Caenorhabditis elegans: one gene and its partner. The protein of the gene in region 1 purifies or fractionates together with the protein of each later gene. This does not show direct contact. Each region holds a gene or a part of one and is shown in the gene's direction. Other genes may lie near its edges.

Region 1 (17,746 bases):
TATTCATCCACAGACGATCATTTCTGGATATAGACGTGCTCTCGGGATTGCTCAAGAATCCTTGAAAAAGTCCAGCATTGAATCCGGAGATAATATTCGTGATGATCTTTTGAAGATTGCCCGTACTACTCTTGGATCTAAGATTCTCAGTCAACACAAAGAGCACTTTGCTCAACTCGCCGTTGATGCAGTTTTGAGACTCAAGGGATCTGGAAATTTGGATGCCATTCAAATTATCAAGAAGCTCGGAGGATCCATGAATGAATCTTATCTCGACGAGGGTTTCCTTCTCGAAAAACTCCCTGGAATGTTCCAACCAAGAAGAGTTGAGAAAGCAAAGATTCTCATTGCCAACACACCAATGGACACTGACAAAGTGAAAGTTTTCGGATCAAGAGTGAGAGTAGATGGTGTTGCCAAGGTTGCTGAACTCGAAGCTGCTGAGAAATTGAAGATGAAAGAAAAAGTTGACAAAATTCTGGCCCATAACTGTAATGTCTTCATCAACCGTCAGTTGATCTACAACTACCCAGAGCAACTTTTTGCCGATGCTAAGGTTATGGCTATTGAACACGCCGATTTTGAAGGAATCGAGAGGCTTGCTCTTGTTCTCGGAGGAGAAATTGTTTCCACATTTGATTCACCACAAACTGCTCAATTCGGATCTTGTGATCTGATTGAAGAGATTATGATTGGAGAAGATAGACTTCTTCGGTTCTCGGGAGTCAAATTGGGTGAAGCTTGCTCAGTCGTTCTTCGTGGAGCAACTCAGCAGATTCTTGATGAGTCCGAAAGATCCCTCCATGATGCCCTTTGTGTTCTCGTTACTCACGTGAAAGAATCAAAGACTGTTGCCGGAGCTGGAGCGAGCGAAATTTTGATGAGTTCAGCCATCGCCGTCGAAGCTCAAAAGGTTGCGGGTAAGGAAGCCCTTGCCGTTGAAGCCTTCGGAAGAGCCCTTGCTCAATTGCCAACCATCATTTGCGACAATGCTGGACTTGACTCGGCTGAACTTGTCACAAGACTCCGTGCAGAGCACGCCAATGGACGTCACAATATGGGAATCGGTTTGTTCATTTGGAAATCTAACCATTATACAAAATTATCTTTCAGACATCGAGAAAGGAGAGGTTGCTGATGTTACGAAATTGGGCGTTATTGAGTCTTACAATGTGAAGTTGTGCATGGTTTCTTCCGCCGCTGAAGCCACGGAACAAATTCTTCGCGTCGACGATATCATCAAGGCAGCTCCACGTGCCCGTGCTCAAGATAACCGACCATGCTAATCAAATTGTTCGCCAGACTGTTAAAAGATCTTCAACTTTATTCTCCCTTTTTCAGCTTTTAATCGAGTGCTTCAACACAATCGTATCTCGTTTTTTTTCGTCCCCTTCATTCTTATTTTTGATGGAATTTGATACACTTTCTGTTGCTTCTGCCTACCGTTTTTATATGCCCCCGTTTTCAATTTAATATTCGAGAATACCGCGTGTTTTTGCTTGTTGATTTGTTTTCCTTTTAAAATGAATGGAGTGCGATTTACAAAAGGTACAATATTTGAAATGTATTTTATTCCAGTTTTTATCTGATTTTTTATATTTCTGATTAAAGAGAAAAGAAAAAGCTTAAAAGAAAAAATTTAGAACTGCCAAAAGATGCACAGGAGTTTTCCGAGGCTTGTCCGATCGCAAGGTAACTTGTTGAAAGGAATGTTTGGAAAATCCGGGGAAAAGGAAGCAGTAAAGCAGCTGACACTGGAAGAACAGGAGAGCCTTCGCAAGACGCTTCCCAGCATCCGTGCTAGAGAATCCACACAAGTTACTGCTTCAGCTGATTCTGTCACTGAATTTGACGATGATCTGTTGACGATGAGCCGTATCGACACGGATGCCATCCGGGCCAGAGGTTTTCTCAAATACACGCAAAACTATGTTCCCGGCGTTGATGTCAAAAACCAAGTACTTGAAGCAGCGTCATCATGTCTAAGAAGTGCTGGAGTAAAGTCTGAAAACGTGGATCAGTACAAATTTGTGGAAGGAGATAACTCTGTAAAGTTCGAGTTGTTGAACAGGCTGGGAAAATCCATCGAACATTGGCCAACCAATGGAAAACTTCTTCATTTGGAAACAGTGGCAGACGTCGTCGAATTTTATCAGACGCCTGTCAAAAATGTAACAAAATATACAGAGTTAGTTTTTGTTTAAAGATGCTTATTGAATTATTAATTAAAATAAATTATAGAATGGCTCGCGATGAGAACAAACCGAAAAACGTCTCGATTATGGAGCATGCTGCACGTTTCCATCCTGAAGACACTCACATGTATCATGGTGGAATCACTGCATTCCCAGGATCAGGTGGTGAAGTTCTCTCTCTGAGACAGAAACGTCTACTTCGACAGTTCCAACCGAAAAAAGAATGGTTCGATTATGATGATCAGGTAATTTTTAAAGTTTCAGTGCTGACTTAAAATCGGCATTTTTCAGACATTTGATTACACTCGTCCTGACAAGAATATGCCATGGGATCCAGAAGTTGCTAATCAAATGGACAAATACACTGATAAACGATACAACCTAAAAACAAAGCAATTCACTAGGATTCGACAATAAAAAATAATTTGGTTCATTTTTGTATTAGAGTTTCATATTTAGTATTTTTAGACCTATTTTCTTTTTGTTTGATCTATCGATTTTTATTGTTGTAAATAAAATTGACGTTGAAAAAAATATTTTTGACCTCTTCACGTTTTGATCTTCCTCTAAAGTTTTGCTCTACGCAAGTTATTTCAGTTTTTGATTTAAAATGTTTGTTCCATTCACCTCGGCAGCTCACTCGCTCACTTCGCTCATTCGAGGTGGCGGGCAGCCTTCGAAAAGCAATCTGTCTGGACAAAGGTTTTGGTTATCTCTTTTTCTTTATTTTCCGCCAGTTGATTTCATGCTCCCGCGACTTCCACACGCAATCTGCAAAATTTTGGCTGCTGAATCAGGGTAATGGGGTCTGCCGTGCCTTTTTTCCAAAACGTTGACTGATGTTTACTTTTCTTTTATGTTTCATTTTGACTTGTTCAATGGTTTTGAACAATAGTGTGTGCAAACTAACGTTTTTCTTTAAATTCAACACGCAAGCTTTGAGGTGTTTTAGTTAGAAAGAAAATAGTTGTGTTTCTCTTCAAAAATAAGTTTTTTCCGAAATGTTTTGCAAATTTTCCGAATCAACAATTTCTTCTCATATCAGACCTTATCACTTCTTCTCACTTCTAAAACTGACCACTGAACATAAAAAACATTTGGTAACTCGCTTCTCAAATCCAATCTGAAGTGCATGCTTTGCCAATCTGAAACTTCGTGTAAGTCACGTATTTAGGCGAAAGGCAGCCGCTCAAGTCGTCGCTTCTCCCCAGCGGCAGTTGCTGGCGTCCTTGGCCCCTCACTTGTTTTCGAGCCCAAGGCATTGGCTCCTCTTTTCTTCTCGGCATGACGAATTTAATCATAATTCTCAATATCTAGAAGTGTTCAAGAACTTAGTGAATCTGCAATGCCTTTTTTTTGTAACTTCAGTTCGAATCTTAACTGCGTCTCTTTGAGATCTACAAACGAATTTTATTCACTGCCACGAAAAAGAGGCTGTCCGTGCGATTCTATTGAACGTGCGCTCTCGGGCCGCTCACAAACACATCTAACCAGCTGCATTTTCTCTGAGTCTCGTGTCCTCCGTGCGACCTTCGTCACTCTTTCCACTTTCTGCGCCGTCTATTGACGGCGCCGCCTTTTTCTTCTCGCACTCCTTTACCCCTTCTCGCCTCAAACATTTTATCTTTTCAGTTGTTTTGTTTACTAGTGCCCGTTTCTCACGTAGTTTTATATACTTGTTTGATTATTGAAAACATATAGTTCATTTTGCAGGATGCCAATCACCAAGATCCACGCTCGCCAAATCTACGACTCCCGCGGAAACCCAACTGTTGAGGTTGATCTTTTCACTGAGAAAGGTAAGCGAGCATTGTATAAATTCTATCAAAACTTGAAAAACCAATCTAGATTTGAATAAAATAAGATTAATCTTGTTTTATTCAAATCTGAAATTTCATGAAGTATATTTCAACATTATGACGCAATTCCGAAATCACATCATTTCTTGTTTCCAGGAGTCTTCCGTGCCGCAGTTCCATCTGGAGCTTCTACTGGAGTTCATGAGGCCCTCGAGCTTCGTGACGGTGACAAGGCTGTTCACCTCGGAAAGGGGGTTCTCAAGGCCGTCTCGAACATCAACGAGAAGATCGCTCCAGCTCTGATCGCCAAGGGATTCGATGTCACTGCACAGAAGGACATTGACGACTTCATGATGGCTTTGGATGGATCGGAAAACAAGGGAAACCTCGGAGCTAACGCCATTCTCGGAGTTTCACTTGCTGTCGCCAAGGCTGGAGCCGTACACAAGGGACTCCCACTCTACAAGTACATCGCCGAGCTTGCAGGAACTGGAAAGGTTGTGCTCCCTGTTCCAGCCTTCAACGTCATCAATGGTGGATCTCACGCTGGAAACAAGCTCGCTATGCAAGAATTCATGATTCTTCCAGTTGGAGCTTCCAGCTTCGCTGAAGCCATGCGCATGGGATCAGAAGTCTACCACCACTTGAAGGCTGAAATTAAGAAGAGATATGGACTCGATGCCACCGCTGTTGGAGATGAAGGAGGTTTCGCTCCAAATATTCAAGACAACAAGGAAGGACTTGACCTTCTCAACACTGCCATCGACAAGGCTGGATACACTGGAAAGATTTCCATTGGAATGGATGTCGCAGCATCGGAATTCTTCAAGGACGGAAAGTACGATTTGGATTTCAAAAACCCAGCTTCAGACTCCTCCAAGTGGCTCTCTGGAGAGCAACTGACCGAGCTCTACCAATCTTTCATCAAGGAGTATCCAGTTGTCTCTATTGAGGATGCTTTCGATCAGGATGATTGGGATAACTGGGGCAAATTCCACGGTGCCACTTCCATTCAGCTTGTCGGAGACGATTTGACTGTAACCAATCCAAAGAGAATTCAAACTGCCATCGACAAGAAGTCATGTAACTGCCTCCTTCTCAAGGTTGGTTATTTTCTTATTCTGCTTCATACATAAGTTTCTTTTCAGGTTAATCAAATCGGATCCGTCACAGAGTCAATCGAAGCAGCCAAGCTCTCCCGTGCCAATGGATGGGGAGTTATGGTCTCTCACAGATCCGGAGAGACTGAAGACACTTTTATCGCTGATCTCGTTGTTGGACTTGCCACTGGACAAATCAAGACTGGTGCTCCATGCCGTTCTGAGCGTTTGGCCAAGTACAACCAGCTTCTCCGCATCGAAGAGGAACTCGGAGCTGATGCTGTTTACGCTGGACACAACTTCAGAAACCCACAAGTGTAGATCACTCAATCTAACCTATAAATACTGTGTATTTTCGTACTTTCTTCTCAAAATTGCCCTCCCTTTTTATGTAGTCACCTTTTTACCCTATTTTAGTGCTTGACCAGTTTAAAGTTGATTCCATTGTAGATTATTTATTGTACTTGTAATATGAAGATTGGACATGAAAATTTTAACGAAAACAAACATCTGGTTATTTAATTCGGTTTTTGTTTTTTTCTAACTACGGTATCTGTTAAAGGAGCACGCGTTAATTTGGCTCAGGGTCCCGCGACGAAAACTACCATCGCGCGAACGCGTACGCGCCAAAAGTTCTGAAATACATTTTCATCATTTCTTTTGTCACACATTTCGTGCCATGTCATTTACGAAGTGGGTCTGATTTCAAACCAACTGAAAATTCGAGAATTATCGCTCATTTTTATGTCTTATGTTTCGAAAATATAATCAATGCATTTCATTGATTTGTTTTCGTTTCGTTTCGTCGGCATTTTTCAGTTCTCCTGTTCTGCTAAATAGCTATCCTTCATTGTTCCTCGAACTAAATAAGTGGTTACAAATTAACTGTATTTTGCAAACAAATTATAATTTGACTGTTGTGCCTCATTTTAAAGAACAGAATAATTCGGCGCAATTTGTTCATTTTGCAGTTACTTATGCTCTCAGCACGCACTTGTTTTTCTCTCCGCTCTCTTCGTCTCTTAATCGATTTTATCTTTTCTGATTTGTTTGAAACTTTATATTCTCAAATTAAATTCCTGATTTTCAGAAAATTCTCATGCTCGTAACAGCAAAATGAATAATCCAGAAGAAAGCGCTGTAACAGATGTACGTTCATTTATTTTTTCCATTAGTTGTGCAATAATTCGTATTTTCAGCTCCGAAAGTTCACCAATTTGGTTCTAAATGGACTTGTTGACGAAGAAGCAACAGCTGCAGCTCTTATTCGGTATCAATTCCAGCAGCGCACGATCAAAGGTTATTAAAGACGCACAGAACAGCCTCAATTAAATTTACGATTACAGATGTTGTTCGGCGCGGTTCCGAGGATCCCGAATTGAAAGCACAGATATGTGATTTGCTCAATCACCTCGTTATCTACCTGAATGAGGAGATTGTGGAAACTTCTTCCAAAGCGTGTCCGGATGGAATGGACGATCGACATTTCGTGCAACTCGAAAAACGGATGCACTTGATGTTCGAGGTATACTTGGCAATGAATGTCGTTCCCGATTATCTGATTCCTGATCTCACAAAACACGTTGATGCAAGCCGTGAAGCTGTTAAGTATTCATATAGCCTCTGCAAAGGTACGTTTCGATAATTGTTAAAATATTTTATTGTTTTTTTTGCAGACTATTACCGCTGGAAAGAACTGCCATTAACTCTCAAAGAATTTTTTCTTGATGAGAAAGAGGAGGTGAAGGCTGTTGTCGATGAACCAGAACCGACAATGTTTGCACGCGACGACGGGGTAGTATCATCATTGGCTCATGAGAAGGCACAATCAGACGAGGATGGGAAGAAGAAACAGTTCGTGGCAAAGACCGAGAAGGTAGTAGAGCCCCTTAAAAAGAAAAAGAAGCAGAAAAAGAAGAATAAACAGCGCCAGTGAAAAATCCCATTTATTCTTGTACCATGGCGAGTTTCGTGTCTTAAAATTTTATATCTCACAAAATCTGAACCTGTGCAAATGTTTGTTAAATTTATCCCGCAAAAATTCGTATTGTGATTCTATTCGTTTTTGTCTTGTGATGATCATCATTTGATTCAGTATTTAGTCTAGAAAATAAAAATTTCAGCTTTCTCTGTGTCTGGTATCAAATGCATTTTATACAAGTTACTTAGACTGGTAAATTTCCAGGTTCTCAACAATTATCGCGCCAAGAATCCTGACTACAGAACGATGCGCGAGTTGATTAATGCGAAAACAAAGTTCCGTCTCGAGGGAATATACTGCGACAGTTTAATCGATGAGTAGGTGTTCTTATACACTATTTCTGTAAACACCTGATTTTCAGTTTCATATCAGTTTGGGATATGGCTATTGACATTGAACCAGTGAAGACAGAAGACAAGTTTGCATTCACTAGTCTCCTTAAGAAAGTCTTTCTCATGATGGTCGATAAAAGGAGAAATGATTTTGCTAGCAAGATTTTAGATAAATACAATAATGATGCTTCGGGTGTACTGCCTTGTCTCGATAACTTTGTAGAAAACTTTCAAACTGGACTTACGGCCGCCATAAATAACCTTCCGCTTGATGCTAACGTATTGAGCAACAATATGGAATTGTTCGAAAAAGCAAAAGATCCAGTAAGACAGTATTTTTGAAGTTTTCAGTAACCGAAATCTCGGATTTTCAGATAATATGGTATCTGCTCATTTCACCAGCCTACACAGTTCAACAGATCCTGCTGATTTGCGTTGATAACAAAGGTTACGTTCCTCTCGTATCTCGGATTTTTCGTGCCATACCAACATTGTTTGAACGATCTGTCAACCTCACACCGATGCATTTCGAAGGCTTTAAAACTCAAAAACTTTTGATTACCATTCTTCATAGAGTTTTCATTATTGGACGAACTACATGGACTTCTGCTTCTCAGTGGGAAAATGCTGCAATGATGACAATGTCGTTCGCGAAGGAAAGAAAACGAAAAGAAGGACAACCGGAAAAAGTAGAGGATAAAGCATTGCTGGATTCGTTTTCCTTGGTTAACTTTGCTCTCAATGAGCTCTTCAAGGATTATCGAAAACCATTGAAAGCAGTTGAGATTTTTGTGAAAATGCTGCAGCGTCTTCTTGCCAACAATAACAACGCCAGAATGCTCACAAATTACCAATTCTCTTCGTCTTTCTTTGATGATGGAAATAACTATCTTCCAACTTCGATAATAATGCTGCTAATGTTCGATCTTCTTGTGGAATACGATGGACAATCGAATGAAGTTTGTGATGGTGCCAGAGACATTCTGAAATCAGTTAGCGGTCGATTGAACAACGACAACATTATTTTCGATACTGATACATGCAGGCACTTGATCGATGAGAAATTAAATTATGCTCCGTGGTGGATCAAATATTCAATTTGTTCATGGTTTTCATCGTCTCTCCAGAATCCAAAAAAACAAGTCCCATCGGGTGTCTACAAAACAATTGCAGAACAACATCTAGATGAATTCGAACAAATTAAACCGGAAGAAGTTTCAACTGTTTCGGATTGCTACTTCAGATCACTCTTTGAACTGGGTCTTTTTGATGTTGATCTAGCCATTGAACTTTTACAGTATGGACATGTTGCTAAATTTGAGTCGTCAGTGGTTGAAAAAATCGCTTTAGCTTTGGTGGACAGTTATGGGAAGAAGATGTCTAAAAGAAGTGGTGGATTGGATATCGGAAAACTGATTATTTCAATGCTCCAGAAGTTTGATCCAATTCGAGAACTTGCACCACTCAAATCCTACAGCTCGTCCTACTTGGAAAGTGTCAAAAAGATCGAACACATACTTGTACTTTTCATGGCTGCTAGAATTGCAAAAGAGAAACAACTCAGCGCTGCAAGAGTCCGAACTGATGACACAATTCAGACCGCATACGATGAAGTAATTTCTTTGAATCAAGTTTCTGATCAACTTATGGACATTTTCTGCGAGACTACTAAAGCTCACGTTGATAAGGAGGTTACAAACTATTTATTTCAATCTATGATATTGATTTTCTATTTTCCAGGTAATGGAAGTTGAACAAATGAGACGAGAAGTGGAAGTTCTTTTGTTCTCTACTCCAGGAACGACACCTAATCAATTTAAAGCAATGGTTGAGAAGGAGAATAGAGAACAATCATTGGCTCTGCAATTATCAATGATTTATCTTAATTGTTCATATTTCTGTCGACTCTACCAGCAAGTTCCCATTAAGTTACAACAACTGATGAATTCAACTCTCGAGAAACAATTCGATTCGCAGAAGTTTTTAGCCAAGAAAGTTATGGATGACGTGCTGACAGAAAAAAGAAAGGTAAATCTCTTGACATTATTCGCTTAAAAAATTAGTGAAGAAAATTAGTTTAATTTTTTTTTTTGAATCTCAATAAAATTAATTTTTGCAGACCGAAGTTGTTTACGCATTCGTGGATACACCAGTCGAGCCGACTCCAAACGAAGATAATATTCAACCCGTTAAACCTGCAGAATTATTCAGACCACCAGTTGTTGAGAATGTCTCAGTTGAGAGTACAACGTACAATTCAAATGGAGGAGGTACAGTAATTCATAAATTTTTTATCTAACCACTTGCCGTTTTAGGTTACCGCCAAGGAAGATATCAAACCGGATATCAAGGAAAAAATCGTAGATCTAATTTTGAACAGCCCACGTCTTCGCGTGGTTCTGGAAGAAGTGATCGTACCTACGCTTATAAAGGAAATCGATTTCAACCTGTCAATGACTCCCACGTTTTTGCACCCAGAGAACGAGAGAATGTGTACCAGAACAGCAGTCATGATCGTGATATTCCACGTAATGATTATTCAGAATATGATCAAGAAAAGTTGTACCTTGACGATAAACAACCTCGTTTTCATTCTGAAAATAGAAATTCCAATGATGTTAGAAGATATTCTGAATCAAAAGACTCGAAATATGACAATAAAAATTGGAATAATCGTTCTTCTCGGTGGCCTTCTGAATCTGAATATTCTCAAGAAGATTCTGAAAATAGGTATGTAAGTTATCTGGTTTAAAATATTTTTTTCTATTTGAAGGCATCTCGATCAAACTATCCAATCCGTTCGAAAGTTCTCATATCGAGAGAACCAACAAAAACATAACAGACCTGGCACCTCTAGTGCTTCGCCGCCGAAAAACCAAGAATGGAAACAACATCAGCAACAGAAGAAAAGTTTCGGTGGTGGTTTTGGAGAAAACGGCAATAAGTTCAATGGAAACTCACGGAAACAACCCGAGAGAAAACCAAGATACACTTCCTCGAGTAGGTTTTTTTATTAATTAAATTGATCCTAATTCAGTAATAATTGTAATGCTATTGAAGTAGGATCAATTATATAATAGAAAAAACCAATTTTATCGTGAAACGATTTGGACTTTATTCGCTTTCAGACTTCTACGAACAAGATGAAGATTCACTTCAACTATTGAAACCTGACAGAAATGAGCTTGCTCAGGCAATGGGCCTCAATGACCCGCCAAACCCGCCCAAACCTCGTCGCAGTGAATGGACTCGTCGTTGAGTTAACATTCCCGTTGTCTTCTGTTTATTGTTCTCATACTTCCTATCCAAATTTGTTATGTTGGTTTTACTCTATTCGCCTCCCATTGAATTCGTATTTTTTTCCATTCCACATTTAATTTCTTTTACTTCTTTCAAATTTTCACCGCCTTGAAATAAAGGTTTGTTTTTAATTAAGATTGATGAGCGTATATAACGAGAAGAGCTTCATTTTTCTGCTGAATGGCTAACAATATTAGGTTAAACGGCGTGTAGAACTGGGTAAAAATGCAGTAAATATTAAATGTTGAACATTTCGATGTCGACACAAGAACAACTTGTGGATGAGGGTAAAAAGAAGATTATCTTTGAGCACCGACACTGAAAATTGGAAATTGTTAACAGAAAGAAAATGATTTTGAGGTGAAATTAGCACACTTAACTATTATAATACACATTAAAACGTTTCGGCATCCAATCAGGATAACCTCAAGAACTTAAAATACAAATAAAAGCTAGGTAACAATTCATGTCATTGTTTTGCATGAATTTAAAACGAGAATTGAAAATTAAAACTGTTTGAAAATTAAAATTATCACCAAATGAACGGATTCTTGGCTGGCTTTTTATACTTGTTTCCGTTTTCTGACTCGACAAACTCGTTTCCATAGGAAGATCCATACCAAACTGAAAAACAAAAAATAAAAACAAATTTCAGGTGGCTTTCCACATACCGAGCAATTCCTGGTTAATTCTGATTGGCTTGATTACACGGTAGAAAATTTTTCCATTTGTCTGGAATGCCAACATATTCTGCTCATCTTCGACTGAAATATTTTTAGTTAAGTTTACACAGAAAATCATAATTTTGTCTTACATCGTGGACTATTAATATATCTCAGCCAATTAGATCGCTCGGCGTCGGATCCATCAATGTAGAATCGCTTATCACCACTTTTAATAAGCCAAGCATATCCATCTTTGTAGAAATCTGTTTTTTTCTGACAGCGGCGACCTTTATACGGACCAAATACCATTCCAACTGGAATAAACACTTCAGCAATCACTCCTAATCCGGCATTCGGCAACTTTGATTCTTCGATGCGGAAAAGGATTGGCAGAGTTTGTTGCGAGAACGATAAGTTCGAGCTTTCATCACGTTTCAAGACACGATCGGGAATTTTGAATAGTGGATGCAGACGACAATATGGGCGATAAAACTTGTTGCATTTGTCACAATCTTGAAAAAATAAATTGTATTCGGAATTTTTTAGAATTGACTCACGAATGTCGAGATTTTCATCATATGCCCCGTCGCTGATTTCAGTTCCAAGAATAGTCACATCATTATCTGTAATACAGTCATACGAAAAAAAAAAGCGTACACACAATACCGGAAAGATCTTGGATTTCTCGGTGAAGTTTAGAGTCAAGGTAACGAGCTTCGATAATACTGATTGCTCCATCATTAAAGTCAAGCACCAATTTGTAGCTTTTCTGTAAAGAAAACTCGTAAACTCAAGCAATGTTTGAAATGTGTCTTACTTTCTCTCCAGTGATCGGAATGATGGCTTCTGGATTACTTATTCCAGGAATTTGAATCCCATTCATCTGAAAATAAGAGATATAATTATGTTTAATATTCATAAAATTGCGCAGTCAAAAGAAAAAGAAATCAACATGCTTGTTTGCAATCAACAGAAAAGAATCGGAGCGCGTTTGCAACAGGAAAAGGCGGAAATTCAAACTAATATTTTTCGAAAAATTCAGGAAAAGAAGAGTAGAGTATTTAGATGAGTAAATAACAATATTTTAAGAAAGAAAAAGAAAATGAATTCAGTGGAAAATTCACTAAAAATCAATGTGAATTTTATATCGATTACTTTCAATGTTGAATTTGAAATGTTTTGGAGGTGTACGGTATTCCACTTGAGATATTTAGTTTGGTAAAATCCCTGTACCTTTAAGCCATCTCTCGATTTCTTTTTTTAAATTGCAGTTTCAATTTAAATTTTTTACTCTTTCTCAAAGCAATAATTTAATTATTTTCAGAAAAAAATGCGGAAAAAATTTACGTTGTTCACTTTTATTCTACTTAACCTCACTGTCTCGGCAATCAGCAACAACGGCCCAACTGTTGATGAGATTTTGGAAACCAATCAATACTTCCTCGTTTCACAGCAAGATGGTATAACCTCCATCGAAACTTCTGTAACTCCCGGTCACTGTCCTCAGTTTATGGTAAATCCTAAAACGTAAGCTGATTACCTCGATGCACAACCTTATTAAAAATTGCAGAAATCATCCGAAATTCCGATTCGCAGGCGTTCATCTTGTACGTGATCCGAATGGCCGTTTTCCACCCAAGATAATGACAATCAGAGAAGACGATCATTCTTTCAATGCAAATATTTTCACTCTGAATGTAAGCTAACGCGAATTAAAAACAATATTCAAAAATTAATTTTAATTCCAGGTGTCCAACGTATTTCAACAAATCTCCTCGAAAACCGTCAGTTTTGTTGACAAGAAGAAAAGCCTTGTGCCAGAAACGTCAGCACTGAAGTTAAATAAAAAAATTGTGAGCATATTCAGAAATTTGGCATTTTTTTTCAATTTCACTAATTTCAGCTCTCAACTCTTTTTGACTCAACCAGCCACATGCTATATGTCGACTTCTCAACCTCAGATACTTTCGAAATGGAACAATTTTTTGTCAGTGGACTTCATACTGGTAAGCAAATACTTTTTAAAAGTTAAATGAAATGTTACTTCTAATTTTCAGACAACTTCAAATTAATTTCACTTCATCGATACTATAGATCTTCACCAAGCAGCAGATTTGAGTGGCAAGAAGATCAATATGCTGGAAAGTTCTATTATAAAGAAAGAATCGACGATCAGATTCAACTTTTCGAAATTCCAATGAACGCACTAGTTGCAACTGCATCAGAAGGAGAAGCCGGCGTGAAAGTTGGAAAAATGAACAAGGACGGCGTTATTCTTGGGTAGGCCTACCTAAAAGATTGACCCCTGAAAGATTTTTTTCAGAGCAACAGGCGGTGCGTTTTTCACATCTTATAGAAAGCGCGAAGGAAACATGACAAAATTGTACACTTCTCTAGTACCGGCAAACCTGAGCGCAGGTTTCAAATGCGAAAAATTGATTAAACCTTCTTCAATGCCAAATTTCTACGAGCTCATCATCATCAAGAATAATGATTATTGCATGTTGAGAGATGGCACGAATTTCGATCGTAAAAATTGTGAAATGGAACAGAAAGCGTACCTCATTTCCAAGCAAGTTTTTGAAGACGAGCCAACAAATGTTGTAATGTGGCTGCTCGTTGTCTGTATCATCATGTTTATGATTATCATGCTTCTCTACGTCTACATCTACTGGCTTCGTTCTACTTTCGTGGCAATTGAAGAGAGAGCTCTTCCCACTGAGGTTAAATATCGTCGATTTTTCTTTAAAAATATTATATTTTCCAGTTCGAAACGGAGGCATCTCTATTTGTCGCCAAGCAAAGAAGTTTCCAATCAGCATACTACGATCCTGCTCTTCTCGATGTTTCTGTCGACAAATGGAATTAATTTATTTTCCCCACACTTTTATCATTTTCAGTTCTAGCAATTAACTCAAAACCTGTTCACTGTCCCTTTTTATATAATAGTATACTGTTCTTCCCATCTCCTATCACACATCAACTTACTTGAGTTTTATTTGTTATTCAGTTTTATTTGTTATTCATTTACCCCTGTTCCATTCCTTTTGCACATCTCCTCTGCAGTTCTAATTTATTTTGTAATTTTTGAATTGTGAGGAAAACTTTCATTGCTTTTCCAACCAAAATAAATAAGTTTAAGAAAAAAGAACCCTGTGATGGCAGATAAGAACATAGGTCAATGGGAATGGCCAAAGGCGCACCGGAAAAGAGAATCCGTAAAGAGAGAAAGTCAGAAAAGTGAGAGAGAGAAAATGTCAAAGATAACAAAATGAGATCGGAGTTGGAAAATGGAGCAAAAATGACAAAATGAGCAAATTATGACATGCTGGCGATTTCATATTTTTGTCGGCGAACAATGAGAATCACAATTGTCGTTGTGATCAGGATTAAGGCCTGAAAATGAAAATTAATATAAAAATTCAGGCTTTTCAGCGATGTCTGCTCTGAAAGTATCAAACATGGTCTCGCCACGACTGATTATTTGAACTCCAAAGTGTGTGCGCCTCCGAGGAGTACTGTACTTCCCAACTTGTCACTTTTTTATAACTTCTCTCCTGTTGCCTCAAAAGTCTTTGAAAAACTATAAAGTAAGAAAAGTTAAAATAATAATGCAAGCATTACTAACTATTTATTTAATTTGATAAAAGATTCAACAAAAAAATTTGGAAGTATAGTACTCCTTAATGAAACACGTTTGCATTTGAAACATTGGTCGTGTCGAGACCGTATTTTTGGGCAAGAAATCGGAAAATTGATAAGTAATAGACATCTTAACTTTTTCTTGGTTCCTTCAAAATCATACGAGATTTTTGAAAATTACGAAAACCGTAGAAAAACTTGGTAAGTACTCACCACTGTTAATAAAATACTAACAACTAGAACTGATCTAAAATCTGCACATATTCTTTCTTCGTCAAGTGCCTTCGATTCTGAAGCCTCTTCAATTGATTCAGTTTCCACGTGGATATCCGGACATGTGTGTTGAATTGGTGGTTCTGTTGGGTGTGGAGTCATTGTAGATGATGTGATGTTGATCAATTGAGATATTTCTAGATTTTGACTTCGAACATCAATGGATGGAAATTGAGATGAGTCTTCTCTGAAAATGGTTTTAATTGTAAAATATTTCGTCAAGATAAGGATTCATTTAGCGGAAAAATCTCCCGACGCTACTCTCACTTTAAATAATACCAAATTTTCAAAAATTATCAGAATGCCTAATAAACTAACGGTCCATAAGATCAATTTTCTTACCTTTTCCTCCTCATCAAATCACATTTTGGTTTAGGGCATTCCCCAGTTGGAAGTTGTGGATGAAGACGGACTTGACATGCAAAATATACAATTGAAGTATGAGATACTCCAAATACTTTAACAGATGTTCCCACATGAGTTCGATTGTGATATTCAAGTTGTGGCATTATTGATTCATGTTTTGAACATCCAGATGAATCGATTACTTCGTGAGTTTCTTCACCACCAACAAGCTCACAGTTTTCGATCATTATGCATGACTCCTACAAAACTTAGTACGTTGGTCAATTTGAACATTTACGAACGATACTGGTGACTGTTTTCAGAAAAAAAACCCAGAATTACTTCATAAAAATAAACATTTTTAAAATTTTTCAAAAACTTACATAAACATTTTGGCACTGCCATGAATGATAAACGTCTTGTCCAAGAGCCAACCGACCGGCAGGTAACCCTCCGGGACTTGTTAATACTTCATATGAACAACTTGGTCCTTTGGTATCTGATGGAGGAGGTTTTGGAGATCCAATTGCCAAGGAAGTTGATGTTCCATTTATTTTCTTTTGATGGAAACATTGCATATTAAATATTCGATCATCTACAGTTGTGAATTCTGGATGAAATGAAACTGATAAAGATACTTCTAGAATTACTCCTGTTGGGTGCAGACTTCTGAAAATATTTACAGTTGAAATATAATTTAACTAAAACATACCTCCTCCGTGGCACCATACATTCCTCATGGGGAATCAGAATCTCAATTTGATTATTTGTCACGAGGCTCTGCAAAGCCTCACGGGTTATGAAATTTCTTGTATTTTTATGATTCCGTTACCTGAAAGCATGCTTTGTCTGGAGAATACTTAACATCCACATGACCCAGAAATGTTGATTTTGTGCGAAGCTTAACGTAGATTGCATCTGCTGCGCAACTGGAATGTATGTTGAAATAACTCAGAAATCAGAAAATTGAGTGTTTGATAACTATTTTTTTTATTAAACCGTATCTGTTTTATAATAATTTTTATATTTTTGGTTTCTAGATATTGGAACCTAAATTATCAAAAGACACTACCAAAAATTGGATCTGAGACTGATCAGGTTTCAGGTCAACTGATCATAAAGTTTTAACAATTGTTTCCTAATTGAAAATTACGAATTCTTTTTATGTGAAAAAATATTAAAAGGTAGGCAAGATTAGATGTTTCAAATTTTAAATAAGGTTTATAAAAAAAGAAGAAATTACTAGGTACATGAGCATTTCAAAAATATTTGTTGAGCAAATCCTAGGAAACAACGTTAAAGTAGATGTAGGTTGCCTTCGAAACAAGTTACAAATGCCTAGGCAGGCATTTTCAATCCCTTCAAAGAAATATTCAAATTCATCTTCAACTTCTCCTTCCTTTTTACTTTCAAAAACATGTTTTTTCTTCGTTTTTGTGTCAAATACATATATTCCGTATTTTCTATTCTCAACCTATTCTTCTTTTTCTTTCCTTTCCGTCATTTTGAAACCGCAATCGAGTTTGAAACCCTGCTCTTCTTCGTCCCAAAATTGAATCAACTCGTCGTTTTCTTTTTTGCTACCTTATCCTTTTTTCTTGCTCGATATCTTGATCAAGGATCAACATTTCAGACCCACTTTTCATAAAAACTCATACTTTCCGCAAACTAATATGTAAATCGGTGGTGCAATTTTAATATAAAATACTCGAAAGATGATGAGGTTTTTACGGAAGAATCTTGAAATAGTCTTTTGAATCAAGAGACGCAGTACAAATGTTTGAGCAGGCTCCCCTTTTTGCATGGAGCTGTCTTGTTGTTTGGTATTGCATAAAATGAAATGAAATGGCATTCGATTTCGACCACTGAATGACGGCTTCCGACCCAGAGTAACATGATGGTGTAGGGTCAAAATATACATGATTGGATGCATGTGCAAACCAATTGTTATTATACGTTTGACACAAAAATTGGGTCTACTAATATATACACAATATTATTTACCAAAATTTGGTCACTTTTATCTTTTTTGTTATTGGCTTTTCTAGAAAATAAGCTTAAGAAAATAGAAAGAAAAACATCTTTGTCAAAAAAATCAATTCTGATTTCTAACT
Region 2 (13,836 bases), on another chromosome or scaffold:
CTAACATTTCAAATATTGAAATAAAATTCAAATTTGTTCAAAATTAAATCTCAAAATAATTTTCCATCAACTTAATAATTATGCAAAAGTCAAGAATTGGGTAAAATCCTAACTGCGATCAGCTATGTATGAAAATTGTAGTATGACGCTTTGTGTCTCAATTGCTATTTTCCCCTTGTCTGACCGAGTAAGCAATTGTTGTTTTCTGTTTTTCTTTTTTTTGTCAATGTTCTAAACAACTGCCACCAATGCAGGAGACACGTGTTTTTAAGAGAAACTAAGTTTTTTTCTAAATTTAATTAAGACATGGTTTCATCGTAAAAAGTACCTATTCTCCTACATTTGGGAAATTTGAAAATTTTTTTTAAGGTATCACCACTTTTTAAGGCTATTGTTTAATTATCACAGTAAAAAGTTTCAAAAATTTTTTGAAATTTTTATTTACAGTCAAAAAGTGGTATCATACTATACCCTCGAAAGTCGAAAAGAAACAAATTTTCTACACATTTTATATTTTAATTACGTTTCAATTATTTGTATTTGCGCATTTTGGGGGTTCAAGGTTGCTCGTTGCTCGAAATTACTTTTATTTTTTAAATCTCACATTTTTGAAAATTTACCAACTTAATAAATTGGAAAATCTTTTTTTTTTACTTAAACTTTTAATACCTTTAAAAAAATTGATCGTATATTTTTAAAAATTAATAAAATTCCGCAAAAAGGTAGCAAAACGGGATGCAATTTTTGATCTAAAAAGCAAACGGAAAAGTTAATATATATTTTTAATATCAATACCAAGACGTTCTAGCTAGTCCTTTTTAGTTCCCAATCAGGAAATAACAACTTATTTGCAAATTACTTTTAGCATATTTAAATTTAAATTTTCTACTTACGTGGGTGATGCTAATGCAGTTCAAGTGTGGGTGACTAGAAAAGTTTGAAAGCGGAAATGTAGGTGTAAGTTCTGCTTTTTTAAAGCAGTAAACAACACTTAAAATTGCAACTTTGCGTTTTAAGATGAGACAGAAAAAATACAAAAACAGCTGAACGAGCTGCTTGGCGCCGACAGGGACATCAGTCATCACTTGTGAGCCACGCGACCCGGGGTCCCTTCGACGTTTAATGACTTTTCGGCGATGGCAACGAAGACGGCGACTGCGACGACGGGGGGCGCAAAAAACACGGCTTCATTTCATTTGACACAAACACACACATGCACAACACATATCCTCGTTTTGCTCCAAAAAACTCTCCTTTCGTTTCCGTCTTCGAAAATTTTTTGCGTTTTGCTGGGCTCACTTTTCAGTCAGATGAGCTTGACGGAAGCACAATTTCCGGTATTTCTTCCGCATACTTTACACACTCCCCAAAAAATATTCCACGTCAACATCACCCAAAAAAAGTTTAAGTTCAAGTTGGCATAAAGCTTGTGGCTCCAAGAAAAAGCTCCCAAAGATAGCAGCAAAAAGGAAGGAAGGAAGGGCAAGATGAATTATTCAGGAAGTGTGTGTTTCGATAGGAATAGGAAAAACGGCAAAGAGTTGTTGAAGATGGTGTTTGTGTGTGGGATGGAAAACGTTTTGGGTTGTTGTTTTTTATCGGAACGAAACTCCTCCAAGGGTCAAGAGTCAAAAAATTTGAGTTTTGAAATAATGGGGGAGGTGGAATGAGTAAATTATGGTAATGAGATTAAAAAAAAAGAGGGCGTTGGAAGATCTTTGGGTTCGGTGCACTTTACAATTTTGGTGACGTAGAATAAAAATAAAATAGGCTCAAAATTACTAGTTTCGTGCTTACTAGAATAAATAATGGATTTGGAAAACTGGTTTGCAACAAGGGAAAACGAAAATATTTTTAGATTGATCGGATTGAAAATTTACAACAAAACAACCGAAAACTCTAATTTTTAGATAATTTCTATAAGGAAAAAATGGTACCAAATATAACTGTGAAAAAATTTATAAAAGTTTTCAGATATTTTTAAAGAAATCACAGTTGGCAAGATATTTTAGAAGGGCAAAATTATTTTTGAATTCCCGCGCAAATGCCTGATCTAGTTTGGACTTTTTTGTATTGCGGGATAATACATTGGTCTTCTTTTTCTACAAAAATATTTCATAAATGTTTCAATGTTAATTTTAAACCTAATATAAAGATTCCGTAAAATGTTTTTTTGGTGATCATGTTTTCTTTACGGAAAAACGTCTAAAAATGTGAAAAACTATGCTTCAAGTTGTAAAACAGAGAATATCTAAATATAGCCTGAAAACCAAAAAGGCCGAAACTAGGTCGCTCGTTTGCGCGGGACTAATTTGCAATTTTTCAAACTGTGAAAATCTGAACGAACTTTTTTGCAAATTTTGATTCCATCCATTTTGGCTATGAATCATTCAAATTTAATATCCTGTCTGCTACTGATGATTACAGGAAATTTGGGTGAAAAGTTGAAAGGTTAATCTTTTGTAACATCAGGTTTTTTTGAAAAGTTTGATAGGTTACAAAAAGCTGCATTATTTCAGAAAAAAATTAACTAGTTGAGAGGTGAAAAACGGTTGACAATTGGCGAGTTAATAGAGCACCAAAACCACTTTCTCTAAAAGGAAGAGCTCTCACTCATAAAAGTGCTTCTCTCTTTCCGCGACTCTTTTTTCTTCTCTTTTTTCCTTCTCAATTTCTACTTTTCTTTCTTTTTTTCCTCCTTATTTTCTACAACCGATTCATTCATAGGCTATGACGTTGTGAACAACAAATGTTTCTTTTTTCTTTGAGAAAAATCAGAAGGCGTTGATGGAAAAGAAAATGTGTCGGAAATAGAGCTGAAAGAAAAAAATTGGATTAGGTTGTGATGCATCATCAAAAATTTGTTAATTTGATTTTACAGAATGTGTGAATCTTTTTTTTTCCTACAACTTTTATTATAATAACTTCTTATCAATTTGAAAATAAATAAATAAATATCGAGTACATCTGTAAGTGTTAGGACACGTGATAGAGGAATAGGGACGAAAGGAATAAAATGGAAAAGAGTAGGGGGGATGTCCCGCGGGAATTCTAGGACAACAGCAGCAACCAGTCTGACGGGGCGCTTATGGAAATGAGCAACCGATAGAAAAAAGAAGAAAAAGACCAGTTATGGCTGAAGAGATGGTGTCAGGAAATTCACTTTTGGAAAATATGGTACATCAGAGAAACAAATGGCGGAAACAGTGGAATTTAAAATTTGAAAGTTTAAAGCCGCCAATTTATAGAATCAGAACTGTTGAATCAAAACGACAAAAACATACTAAAAATGTTTCATTTTAAAGATGCTCAAAATAGATGGTTTCTTACGGTAGGTTTAGGTATTTTATAACAAATTGGAAATTTGAATGTACATGTTTTGGTTATGAATCCTGAAGAACAAAACCAGAAAAAAAGGATGGGCTATAAACGGAATGCCGGAGCAGCTCATTCACGCGTTTCCAGGAGCAAGAATCTCCGCACGCGCGATTTATGGGCATAGTGTCGACGAATGAGCCAGAGCTGTGGAGCTTATGTTTTAACGGCTTTGTACACTTTTAGGGGGTTTTGGGCACTATTTGAAATGAATCGGAATGAAGAAGTACTGTTGGCAAATTGCTCAAAATTCTGAAAATTCCAAAAGCACTCCAACAGAACAGAACTTGCCCTAGTTTTGCCCAAAAAATATTTTACCGTATTCCCGTATTCCCTCTTGCACCCGGATTCTATTTTTTACCGTATATATTACCGTATTCCCTCTTGCACCCGGCTATTCTACTTGAGTACACATACCACTCTGTTCATTTTGAAAATTTTGCAAAGTGGTTGAATACAAAACTCAAGAAAAATAAGTAGTGAACATTTTGTCAGGTGACAAATGTTTCATAAACTCAACGAAAAAGTCTATAAAGAAACGGTAGCTTGGTTTAGAACAAAGTTGATATTTTCTGGCTAGCAAAAATCGTGTTCAACAAAAAAGTAAAACAAATTAGTAAAATTTTTGAAAATGGGTTATAAATTTCTTTTCCAGTTTTTTTCAGCTTTTGGTCGAGATGTACCTAGAACGTGCGAAATAAATTGAAAAACCTACTCTATATCAGTTCTCGTATCTAATGAAGCAGAGTAAAAAACCAACAATATCCAGTGCAACGGAGCAAACTAACATCATTTGCAGAATATAAATCAAACGAAAACAAATGTTCGTTTTGTGAGAATCTTTATAAAAAACAGAAAAAAATAAGACAACATCAATCTCTGATCGTGATGTCAAAGCCTTCTCACAATGAGAATAAAAGGGGTGAATTTGAGTGGTGTTGGTTGGAATCGAATATCTTGAAGAGCTCCCCCCACACGCACTGATGAGATGTTGCCAAGGAGCAAAGGAGCAGAATGACGGGGATACAAAGGATAACGAGAAAGAAAAGGACATTTGGGGAAGACTGGAGGAAGGGAAAAAATGAATCAGAAGACATTTTCATCCACGTTGTTCTTGTTGAGAATTAGAACTAATTGGTTGATTGGACGGATTGACCGCCTTGGAACATATTCGTCCAACAAAAAATAGCTGGAATTTGTTGAAAATGGGTGCATCTAGAGCATTTACAAGTTTTTTTGACTGTACAATTCTGTACAATTATTTTTTACGGTGTTGATAAGTTATTAAAAATTTTATATTAGTAACTATTTTTCAGTTTTTCTCATTGTGGTAGTTCTAAGTAATGTAGATTTTTTTCTAAATACTTTGAATATACAGTAATATTCGAAAATGGGAAAAAATTTTCAAAAGTCCTAATTCTGAAATTACGAATTTCGAACTCTCGGTAATCTCCTTTTTTGAATTTCCTCTAAAACGAAAAGTGCAACCAATCAGCGATTTGCTCCGCCCATGTGTGAACCAATCAGACGGAGTGTGTTTAGTTCAATCTGATTGGTACGGAAATGGTTTCTCTCTATTTTGGAGGTAATTCAAACATGGAAATTAGTGTGAGCAGGAATTGGCGAATACTTTTTATATATATTTTTTTTTTAATCTATATTTTTATCGAATTTTGTTGATGGCAAAAAATAAAATTTTCTTCTGAAAAGAAAAATCCAGCATTGTAAGCAAAAAATATAATTTATTTTCGAAATATCGGATTTTGTGAAAAATCGAAAAACAGACACCCTTGATTAAAATATTTATTATTTCAAAAAAGAGTGTTTCCGAAAAAATTCACAAATCAACACCTTTAAATTTAATATTATTCCCAGAGAGGAACATTGCAACATTTTCGTTCAGTATGTCATGAATTCTTCACTAAATAAGCCATCTTCACTAAATAAGCCATGGTATCAAGGAAGTGTAGATGATAAGTGGAAAAAAAAAGAACCGGACGATGAGAAACAAGAAGCAAAAAAACGAGAAAATGAGAAGAGTGTATGTGTGTCTTTTGAAAATGAGCACTCTTTTGGAGCACAGGCAGAGCAAAGTGGATTCTGCGCTGGGAAAACACCGACTAGGCAAAGGCAGATAATCAAATTGACCCCATAGGCTAATAGTAGCTGCTTTTCGCAATAGAGACTTGACTATAATGATTCGTTTTTTTTTGTTTTCTATTTTATTTTTTGGGTTTTGGTTTTCTATTCTGACGTTCTAAATCAAAACCTTACTTTTCAGTTTTTTTTTGAAAACATACAATTACCAAAACTTGAACCCAACAACTCAGAAAGAGTTGCCATAGCACATATTCAATCAACGGCGAACAAAGTAACAAGTAACAAAATTTTGTTATTTTTTGCGGAGAATTTCAGAGAAAAGCAACTGCAACGAAAAAAGTAGACGTCGAAGTGACATGAAAAGCAAATAAGGAATCGGAAATTTGTGAGTTTAGCTGGGGGATTACAGAGGATATATTAAAAAAATTTTAGGAACAAACTTCGCATGAACGGAATAAACAAGCACGTGGACCGGAGAATTTAGGTTACTCGAGGTCTATTCTCAAATAAGGCTTTTGAGTTGGGTTAAGAAATTAGAAAATTATGTCCAAGAGATTTCCCAACTTTTTGGAAAAAGTGAATAGGTGGCAGAAAGAAAAATTGCGTTAGAGTAGTTTTTCATATATAATCTTGACTTTCAGATGTTTTGTAAAACATGTGAACAACTATAGGAGTTTTCAAGAAACTTTTCTTTCTGAAAAAAATATGATCACTTTTAAAGGCTTCCACATTTGGAGCAGGGATGTGCGGCAAATCTCAAAATTTGCCGCGCTCGGCAAACTCGGCAAATTTGCCGTTTTCAACAGACTCCGGAAAAATGTTATATTTTAGATGTATTTTGGAGCACCAAAGATATCACACATCTGATTTCTGAATAAGTTTCGTGAGCTGTGTCAGCTTAAACATCAAATTAACTCCATTTTGTGGAATTTTACTAAATTTTAGGGGACAAATTCAATAGTTTTGGGCAAAATTGTTTTGTCAAATTTTTGGTGTGCTGCAAATTTCGAAATTTGTCGAGCTCGAGCATCGTTGATTTGAAGCAATTTGCACTGGAAAAATAATCAGATAGAATTTTATCCTGATCACAATACTTGTCAATTTTTTGTAGTAGCCTATTTTAAAATTTCTTTTTTTCAAATGGCATTTATGATCTCCGTATTGGTAATCTCTGTGACCAGGAAGTGATTCAAAGAATCATTCACGGTGATACCAAGAGCGTTTATAAAATTTGCTGAACAGTTTTTTAGATGGTTTGGCCACACAACCATATTAATAATTGTTTTATTGGACTTTTAGGTAGAATTTCAGATTGGAAGATTTCTGGGTGTTTTGTCAGCTAGCATTCGACAATTGAAAGAGATTTACGGATTTTTCTAAACGAATCTATACTAGAACTTCAACCAAACATTATCCAGTTTGACCTTCTTCTTATCTAAACCAGGAAGTGTTGAGTATAGTCATTCGATTTCTTTATCTCTCAACGTGTTTATCCATTTCTCCAGTAGTATAAAACGGTGATCATTTCAATTATTCTGTCAATTTTGCAAAATGAATCTTCTTCTTACCTTTTTGGCTACTATTCTGTGTGTCAGTGAGTTAGTCTCGACACTTCAACCGGAGTGCAAACTTCCATTGGACATGGGAAAAACACCATGTAAAAATGGAAAGAAGGAGATAAGAGTGAGTTTTGATTTTTCAAAGCTTTCATGTCGCTTTTTTTTGGAAACTTTGGAATTTTTGGAAATTGGAAAAAAATATAGAAAAACATTGGTACTTTCTGAAAATAGCTATACGTTTAATTGAAAATTCCGAGAATTTGCTCAAAAACTGACTCAAAAGTCAACGTGCCGAAATAACACTGAGACTGTAAGTCTTTTCAAAATTTCAACTTTTCAAAACTTTCAACAAAAGCAAAATTATTTTCAGAAACTAAACATATTTCTCAATATTTTTATTTCATAAAATTCATAAAGTATAAAGTCTTAATAATTTACAGTACCACTTTGACCAAAAATCCAATATCCCATTGGCTTTTGAGTACAGTGGATGTGGAGGAAACAAGAATAATTTCAAAACTGAGAGTGAATGTCGATTTACATGTACTGGATGTATGTTTTTTCATTTGAATTTTTTACTTTAAACCAAAGTATTTAGATGATCAATCGGGATGTGCCGCTGGAAGTAAGCCAATAAACGATAAAAACTGCCAAACCGATGTAAGTTGCTCCATGTTTTTGAAAAAATCTGTAAAAATTCCAGGAAGAATGTGGGCCAAAAGGTATCTGTAGGTACTCTAATCATATTAATATTTGCTGTGACAAGAAGATTGAAAAGTTGATTGAAGCTGATTATGAGCCAAAATGTCCAAAAGGAAAGAAAGTTGCAAAAATTGTCGAGGGTGGAATCCCTACAACGATTGTTGGGAAGAGTTGCAAATCAAAGTTCTGTCCAGCTGGAGCAACCTGTGTGGAGGGAACATATTTTGCCACTTGCTGCAATTAATTATTTTCGGCCGTGCATGTTTATCTATATAAACTTTTTTATTAATGAATTAATATAACTAATATAACCTTTTCCAAACAATTCGTCTGAAATCTTTAGATTTTCGGACTCCAGCAAATATACAAAGCTATCGATTTGTATATGATATCCCACTGTTTTAAATGAAAAATTTAATGTAGAAGCATATTATAAAAAACCAGCCGTTTGCACGTGCTCCGACTGGCGTACGGTAAATTGTTTTAATAAATTTTAAACTGCTAATGTAAGATTTTTGTACAGTCAACACTTTTCCTGGAGTTTTGCGGAATTTCAAGAAAATTCTAAAACTTTTCCAGAGTTTCTAGAAAATTCTAGAACCATCCTGCTTTTTATGTAAAAAGTCCTAGAAGGGACAAATTTTAAGCGCTTTCAGAATTTAATTACAAAAATTTCCAGGTGCCAGAAGCTTTCAGTTTGATCAAAAAAACTAAATTTCATGCAATATGACCGCATTTTTTTATTGGGAGATTTACTACGTTTGCATTACTTTAAAAATTAAGACTCTGGCCGTTCACCAAAATTAGTGACTCTGGCCGTTCACCAAAATTAGTGACTCTGGCCGTTCACTAAATATAGTTACTCTGGCAAAAATAGTGACTCTGGCCGTTCACCAAATATAGTGACTCTGGCCGTTCACCAAAATTAGTGACTCTGGCCGTTCACTAAATATAGTTACTCTGGCCGTTCACCAAGTATAGTGACTCTGGCCGTTCACCAAATATAGTGACTCTGGCCGTTCATCAAAATTAGTGACTCTGACCGTTCACCAAATATAGTGACTCTGGCCGTTTACCAAATAAAGTGACTCTGGCCGTTCACCAAATAAAGTGACTCTGACCGTTCACCAAAATTAGTGACTCTGGCCGTTCACCAAAATTAGTGACTCTGGCCGTTCACCAAATATAGTGACTCTGACCGTTCACCAAATATAGTGACTCTGGCCGTTCACCAAATATAGTGACTCTGGCCGTTCACCAAATATAGTGACTCTGACCGTTCACCAAATATAGTGACTCTGACCGTTCACCAAATATAGTGACTCTGACCGTTCACCAAATATAGTGACTCTGACCGTTCACCAAGTATAGTGACTCTGGCCGTTCACCAAATATAGTGACTCTGGCCGTTCATCAAAATTAGTGACTCTGACCGTTCACCAAATATAGTGACTCTGGCCGTTTACCAAAATGAGTGACTCTGGCCGTTCACCAAAATTAGTGACTCTGGCCGTTCACCAAATATAGTGACTCTGGCCGTTCACCAAAAATAGTGACTCTGGCCGTTCACCAAATATAGTGACTCTGACCGTTCACCAAATATAGTGACTCTGACCGTTCACCAAATATAGTGACTCTGGCCGTTCACCAAAAATAGTGACTCTGGCCGTTCACCAAGTATAGTGACTCTGGCCGTTCACCAAATATAGTGACTCTGGCCGTTCACTAAATATAGTTACTCTGGCAAAAATAGTGACTCTGGCCGTTCACCAAATATAGTGACTCTGACCGTTCACCAAATATAGTGACTCTGGCCGTTCACCAAAATTAGTGACTCTGACCGTTCACCAAATATAGTGACTCTGGCCGTTCACCAAAATTAGTGACTCTGGCTGTTCACCAGATATAGTGACTCGGACCGTTCACCAAAATTAGTGACTCTGGCCATTCACCAAGTATAGTGACTCTGGCTGTTCACCAAAAATAGTGACTCTGGCCGTTCACCAAAATTAGTGACTCTGGCCGTTTACCAAATAAAGTGACTCTGACCGTTCATCAAAATTAGTGACTCTGACCGTTCACCAAATATAGTGACTCTGGCCGTTCATCAAAATTAGTGACTCTGGCCGTTCACCAAAATTAGTGACTCTGGCCGTTCACCAAAATTAGTGACTCTGGCCGTTCACCAAATATAGTGACTCTGACCGTTCACCAAAATTAGTGACTCTGGCCGTTTACCAAATAAAGTGACTCTGGCCGTTCACCAAAATTAGTAACTCTGACCGTTCACCAAAATTAGTGACTCTGGCCGTTCACCAAAATTAGTGACTCTGGCCGTTCACCAAATATAGTGACTCTGACCGTTCTCCAAAATTAGTGACTCTGGCCGTTTACCAAATAAAGTGACTCTGACCGTTCACCAAAATTAGTGACTCTGGCCGTTCACCAAATGTAGTGACTCTGGCCGTTTACCAAATAAAGTGACTCTGACCGTTCACCAAAATTAGTGACTCTGGCCGTTTACCAAATAAAGTGACTCTGACCGTTCACCAAAATTAGTGACTCTGGCCGTTCACCAAAATTAGTGACTCTGGCCGTTTACCAAATAAAGTGACTCTGACCGTTCACCAAAATTAGTGACTCTGGCCGTTCACCAAATAAAGTGACTCTGACCGTTCACCAAAATTAGTGACTCTGGCCGTTTACCAAATAAAGTGACTCTGACCGTTCACCAAAATTAGTGACTCTGGCCGTTCACCAAATAAAGTGACTCTGACCGTTCACCAAAATTAGTGACTCTGGCCGTTCACCAAAATTAGTGACTCTGGCCGTTCACCAAAATTAGTGACTCTGACCGTTCACCAAAATTAGTGACTCTGACCGTTCACCAAAATTAGTGACTCTGGCCGTTTACCAAATAAAGTGACTCTGACCGTTCACCAAATATAGTGACTCTGGCCGTTCACCAAAATTAGTAACTCTGACCGTTCACCAAAATTAGTGACTCTGGCCGTTCACCAAAATTAGTAACTCTGACCGTTCACCAAAATTAGTGACTCTGACCGTTCACCAAAATTAGTGACTCTGACCGTTCACCAAAATTAGTGACTCTGACCGTTCACCAAAATTAGTGACTCTGACCGTTCACCAAAATTAGTGACTCTGGCCGTTCACCAAATAAAGTGACTCTGACCGTTCACCAAATATAGTGACTCTGGCCGTTCACCAAAATTAGTAACTCTGACCGTTCACCAAAATTAGTAACTCTGACCGTTCACCAAAATTAGTGACTCTGACCGTTCACCAAAATTAGTGACTCTGGCCGTTCACCAAAATTAGTGACTCTGGCCGTTCACCAAATATAGTATTGTTTCAATTTTTTCGTTTTTCAATATAAATAAATATAATTCTCAAACCAATCAACTTCTCTCCTATTTCTATTTTTGTAAGTCCTTCAATTGACCGGTTTCAACTCTCAGAAAGTGAACAATTCAAAAGAGATGTGTGTTTCGAAAATCAATATTATGTTTTACAGATAAAGCATATTGATCAGAAATTACTGTGCATTGATCCTTCGTTTAACTATAATGTTTTCAAAAAGTTAATATTTTAATAAGTTTTTTTTTAAATTTTCTCACTCCCCAGTTTTAATTCTTTCTTGAAGTATTTTATTCTATACAGTAACCTTCTCCATACAATTTGTTTACGTTGGCGGCTGTCACAAAGACCGCACCGCAGTTTCTGCGGGAACACCAGATGGACCTAAAGAGTTTTCAAACTTGCCGACAAGATTCGGGATTACTGTCACTTTCAAAGTGGATATGTTAGTTTTTCCACCAAAATTCCATGCAAGTGTTATTTATACGTAATAGATACTGTGTTGACTGTTACAAAGTGTCATTGAATTGACCTCGCACCTGTGGAAGTGATCACTGTATCCAGTTACTCCGAGTTGCGCAACATAAGTTGATTCTTCCGAGGGTAATTCGGTGCTCCATCAGCTACCAAAACGTGTGAAGTTGGGGGTATAGGTGTACTTTCCCAATTGGGTAGAACTCTGAGCAACATAAAAAGGCATCGAAAGCTGTAGTAAAAAACAAAACGATTCTCCTAAAAATCATGAAAATTTCGAAAGATTTCATTAAAGGCGGAACAAGGAACATGAGCTAACTCCCTTGTTTGAGCTTCCTCCAAAATGAGAATTGCATGACGGAAGGTAGCGTTTTTATGAGCTGAAAATTTTAACCTCTTGCGATTTTTTCCATTGTTCTTAAGAATTGTTCAGTATTTCAGATTCTTAGACTATTAAGAGTATTTTTAAACGTTTACAAAACCTCAAAAAAAAATTGTGCCACTCTGAGCGCGACAATGCATTAGCTCGTTTTCCTCCTAAATGAGCTCTCAGTCTTTCCAACATATATCGTAAAAAACGGGGTTTCTTTCGTACTTTTCTTCATCAAACATCGAATCGATTCTCAAAATTTGTATGTCACTCTCCTTATGCGCCCCCTACAGTACCCACGATGATTCATCGGGAAGTCCCAGCCTCCACACTCTACAGAGGGTCAGAAATAAACATAGCATATTTTTTGGCAAACTGACCTTCTTCTTGTTGTTCCAATGTTACGTGACCGTTTCAAAACATTATTGTTTCAAAGGCGGCATGGTGTCAATGTCGGCTTTCCGATACCAATCCGTTAAAGGAGTGCCGCGTTGTGAATTTGATAGCAACAAACTGGGTGGAAATTAGATCCATATTTAGACCTCGATTTACTTCTTTTTTGTGATTTTATACTCAGAGTATTTTTAAACGATTACAAAACCTCGAAAAAAACATTTGTTTCCATTCTTAGCCACTAAAAGTTTTTCCTAATTTGAGAACAAATGAAATATTACGTGGACGTCTAAAAATGAAATAAAAATGGGTCTCGGCACGCTGACAACAAGCTACGTAGTACGGTGCAAGTGATTTTGCATCAGTGTGAAATTTGATAAAAACTACTCCCATGGTGCCAAAATACCACAATATCATAGAAAAACGTTCTAAAGAGCACTTTGAAAAATATTTATTTTGTTACAAAAAATGGCAACTACTCAGTTTTTGCCACTTTTTTGGCAGTCGTTGTTCAAAAAAAAATCCGCAAAAAACTCAACAATTTCAAAATAATTTTTGTAAAATTTTACAATGACATTTGGCCGTTTTGGTAGCATAGGAATAGTTTTGAACAATTTCCCCAATGGAATGGCACCGGCACGCGCGCAGAATTGAGAATTGATTCTAAAGTGATGTGTGTGTGTGTGTGCCTTTAGTGTTACTGTAGGGCAGAAAACTCTTTACAGTAATCTTAAAGGCGCCTACGCCAAAAATTAAATTAATGTTCGTGTCGAGACCATTTTACGATTAAATATGCATTTGTTTAGAAGTCTATCTGTGTGGATCCTATTGTATGTAGAATCGATTAATTTCTAACAATTGACATCGTTCTAGTACTCATTATTGCACAGATGTTTGAGAATGACTGACGGTATAAGCTCATTTGAATGAACATATATGGCAAAAATTGTCGTATAATCAGCACATTTTGCACTGTCTCCAATAAACTGTCTCCCACGATCCCTCACCATATTTTGAATGATCGTAAACAGAACAGAAAACAAGCGAATTCGAATAAGATCTCTGATGATATGAGACGCAGACGCCTCCCGGTTAATAATTTCCAGCAAAAATCGCCTATGCTTGCGAAATTTTTGTAGTTTCTTTTTCAATTGTTTTAAAAAATTGTCTTCGAACCTTTGATGTAGAGAATTAGATAAAAGAGGAAATGCCATAGTTTATGTGGAAACAGACTTTGTTCTGCGAGTGTGCAAAGATGGAGAGAGAAAGAGAACGGACACACATGTGTTCGACAACTGATTTCTTTTCTTTCGAGGCTTTTCTGATTAATGATTAAAATTTTGAACGAAATTTTACGATTTTGGCTCAAATAATGGTACGCGGTCTCGACACGACAAACTTTTGTTAAATGCTAAAAGGCGTGCGCCTTTAAAGAGTACTGTAATTTCAAACTCTTTTATAATGAAGTTCGGATTTTTTTTCTCG

What was found.
Region 2: the proteins of T21B10.3 (region 1) and Y49G5A.1 fractionate together in Caenorhabditis elegans (co-fractionation; one large-scale study listed by BioGRID). This does not show direct contact.

The regions. Positions count from the first base shown.
Region 1 is NC_003280.10:8,928,198-8,945,943, forward strand, and holds T21B10.3 (Edg1 TPR repeats region domain-containing protein), read left to right. Parts: upstream 1-6,184; 5' UTR 6,185-6,210; coding exon 6,211-6,243; intron 6,244-6,293; coding exon 6,294-6,393; intron 6,394-6,440; coding exon 6,441-6,725; intron 6,726-6,770; coding exon 6,771-6,970; intron 6,971-7,279; coding exon 7,280-7,392; intron 7,393-7,436; coding exon 7,437-7,731; intron 7,732-7,781; coding exon 7,782-9,098; intron 9,099-9,147; coding exon 9,148-9,435; intron 9,436-9,526; coding exon 9,527-9,677; intron 9,678-9,722; coding exon 9,723-10,137; intron 10,138-10,180; coding exon 10,181-10,407; intron 10,408-10,535; coding exon 10,536-10,666; 3' UTR 10,667-10,835; downstream 10,836-17,746. Other genes in the region: cct-2 (T-complex protein 1 subunit beta), read left to right, coding at 1-1,067, 1,114-1,286; mrpl-50 (Large ribosomal subunit protein mL50), read left to right, coding at 1,656-2,188, 2,242-2,440, 2,487-2,612; enol-1 (Enolase), read left to right, coding at 2,806-2,897, 3,909-3,994, 4,151-5,097, 5,143-5,415; Histone-lysine N-methyltransferase set-17, read right to left, coding at 11,007-11,025, 11,244-11,331, 11,379-11,471, 11,522-11,884, 11,930-11,995, 12,039-12,141, 12,190-12,291; T21B10.4 (uncharacterized protein), read left to right, coding at 12,703-12,899, 12,943-13,069, 13,121-13,225, 13,276-13,378, 13,430-13,652, 13,696-14,095, 14,140-14,241; cutl-15 (ZP domain-containing protein), read right to left, coding at 14,691-14,768, 15,228-15,474, 15,630-15,892, 16,016-16,301, 16,345-16,412, 16,465-16,561.
Region 2 is NC_003283.11:5,280,551-5,294,386, reverse strand, and holds Y49G5A.1 (BPTI/Kunitz inhibitor domain-containing protein), read left to right. Parts: upstream 1-7,013; 5' UTR 7,014-7,026; coding exon 7,027-7,158; intron 7,159-7,474; coding exon 7,475-7,586; intron 7,587-7,632; coding exon 7,633-7,694; intron 7,695-7,737; coding exon 7,738-7,980; 3' UTR 7,981-8,044; downstream 8,045-13,836.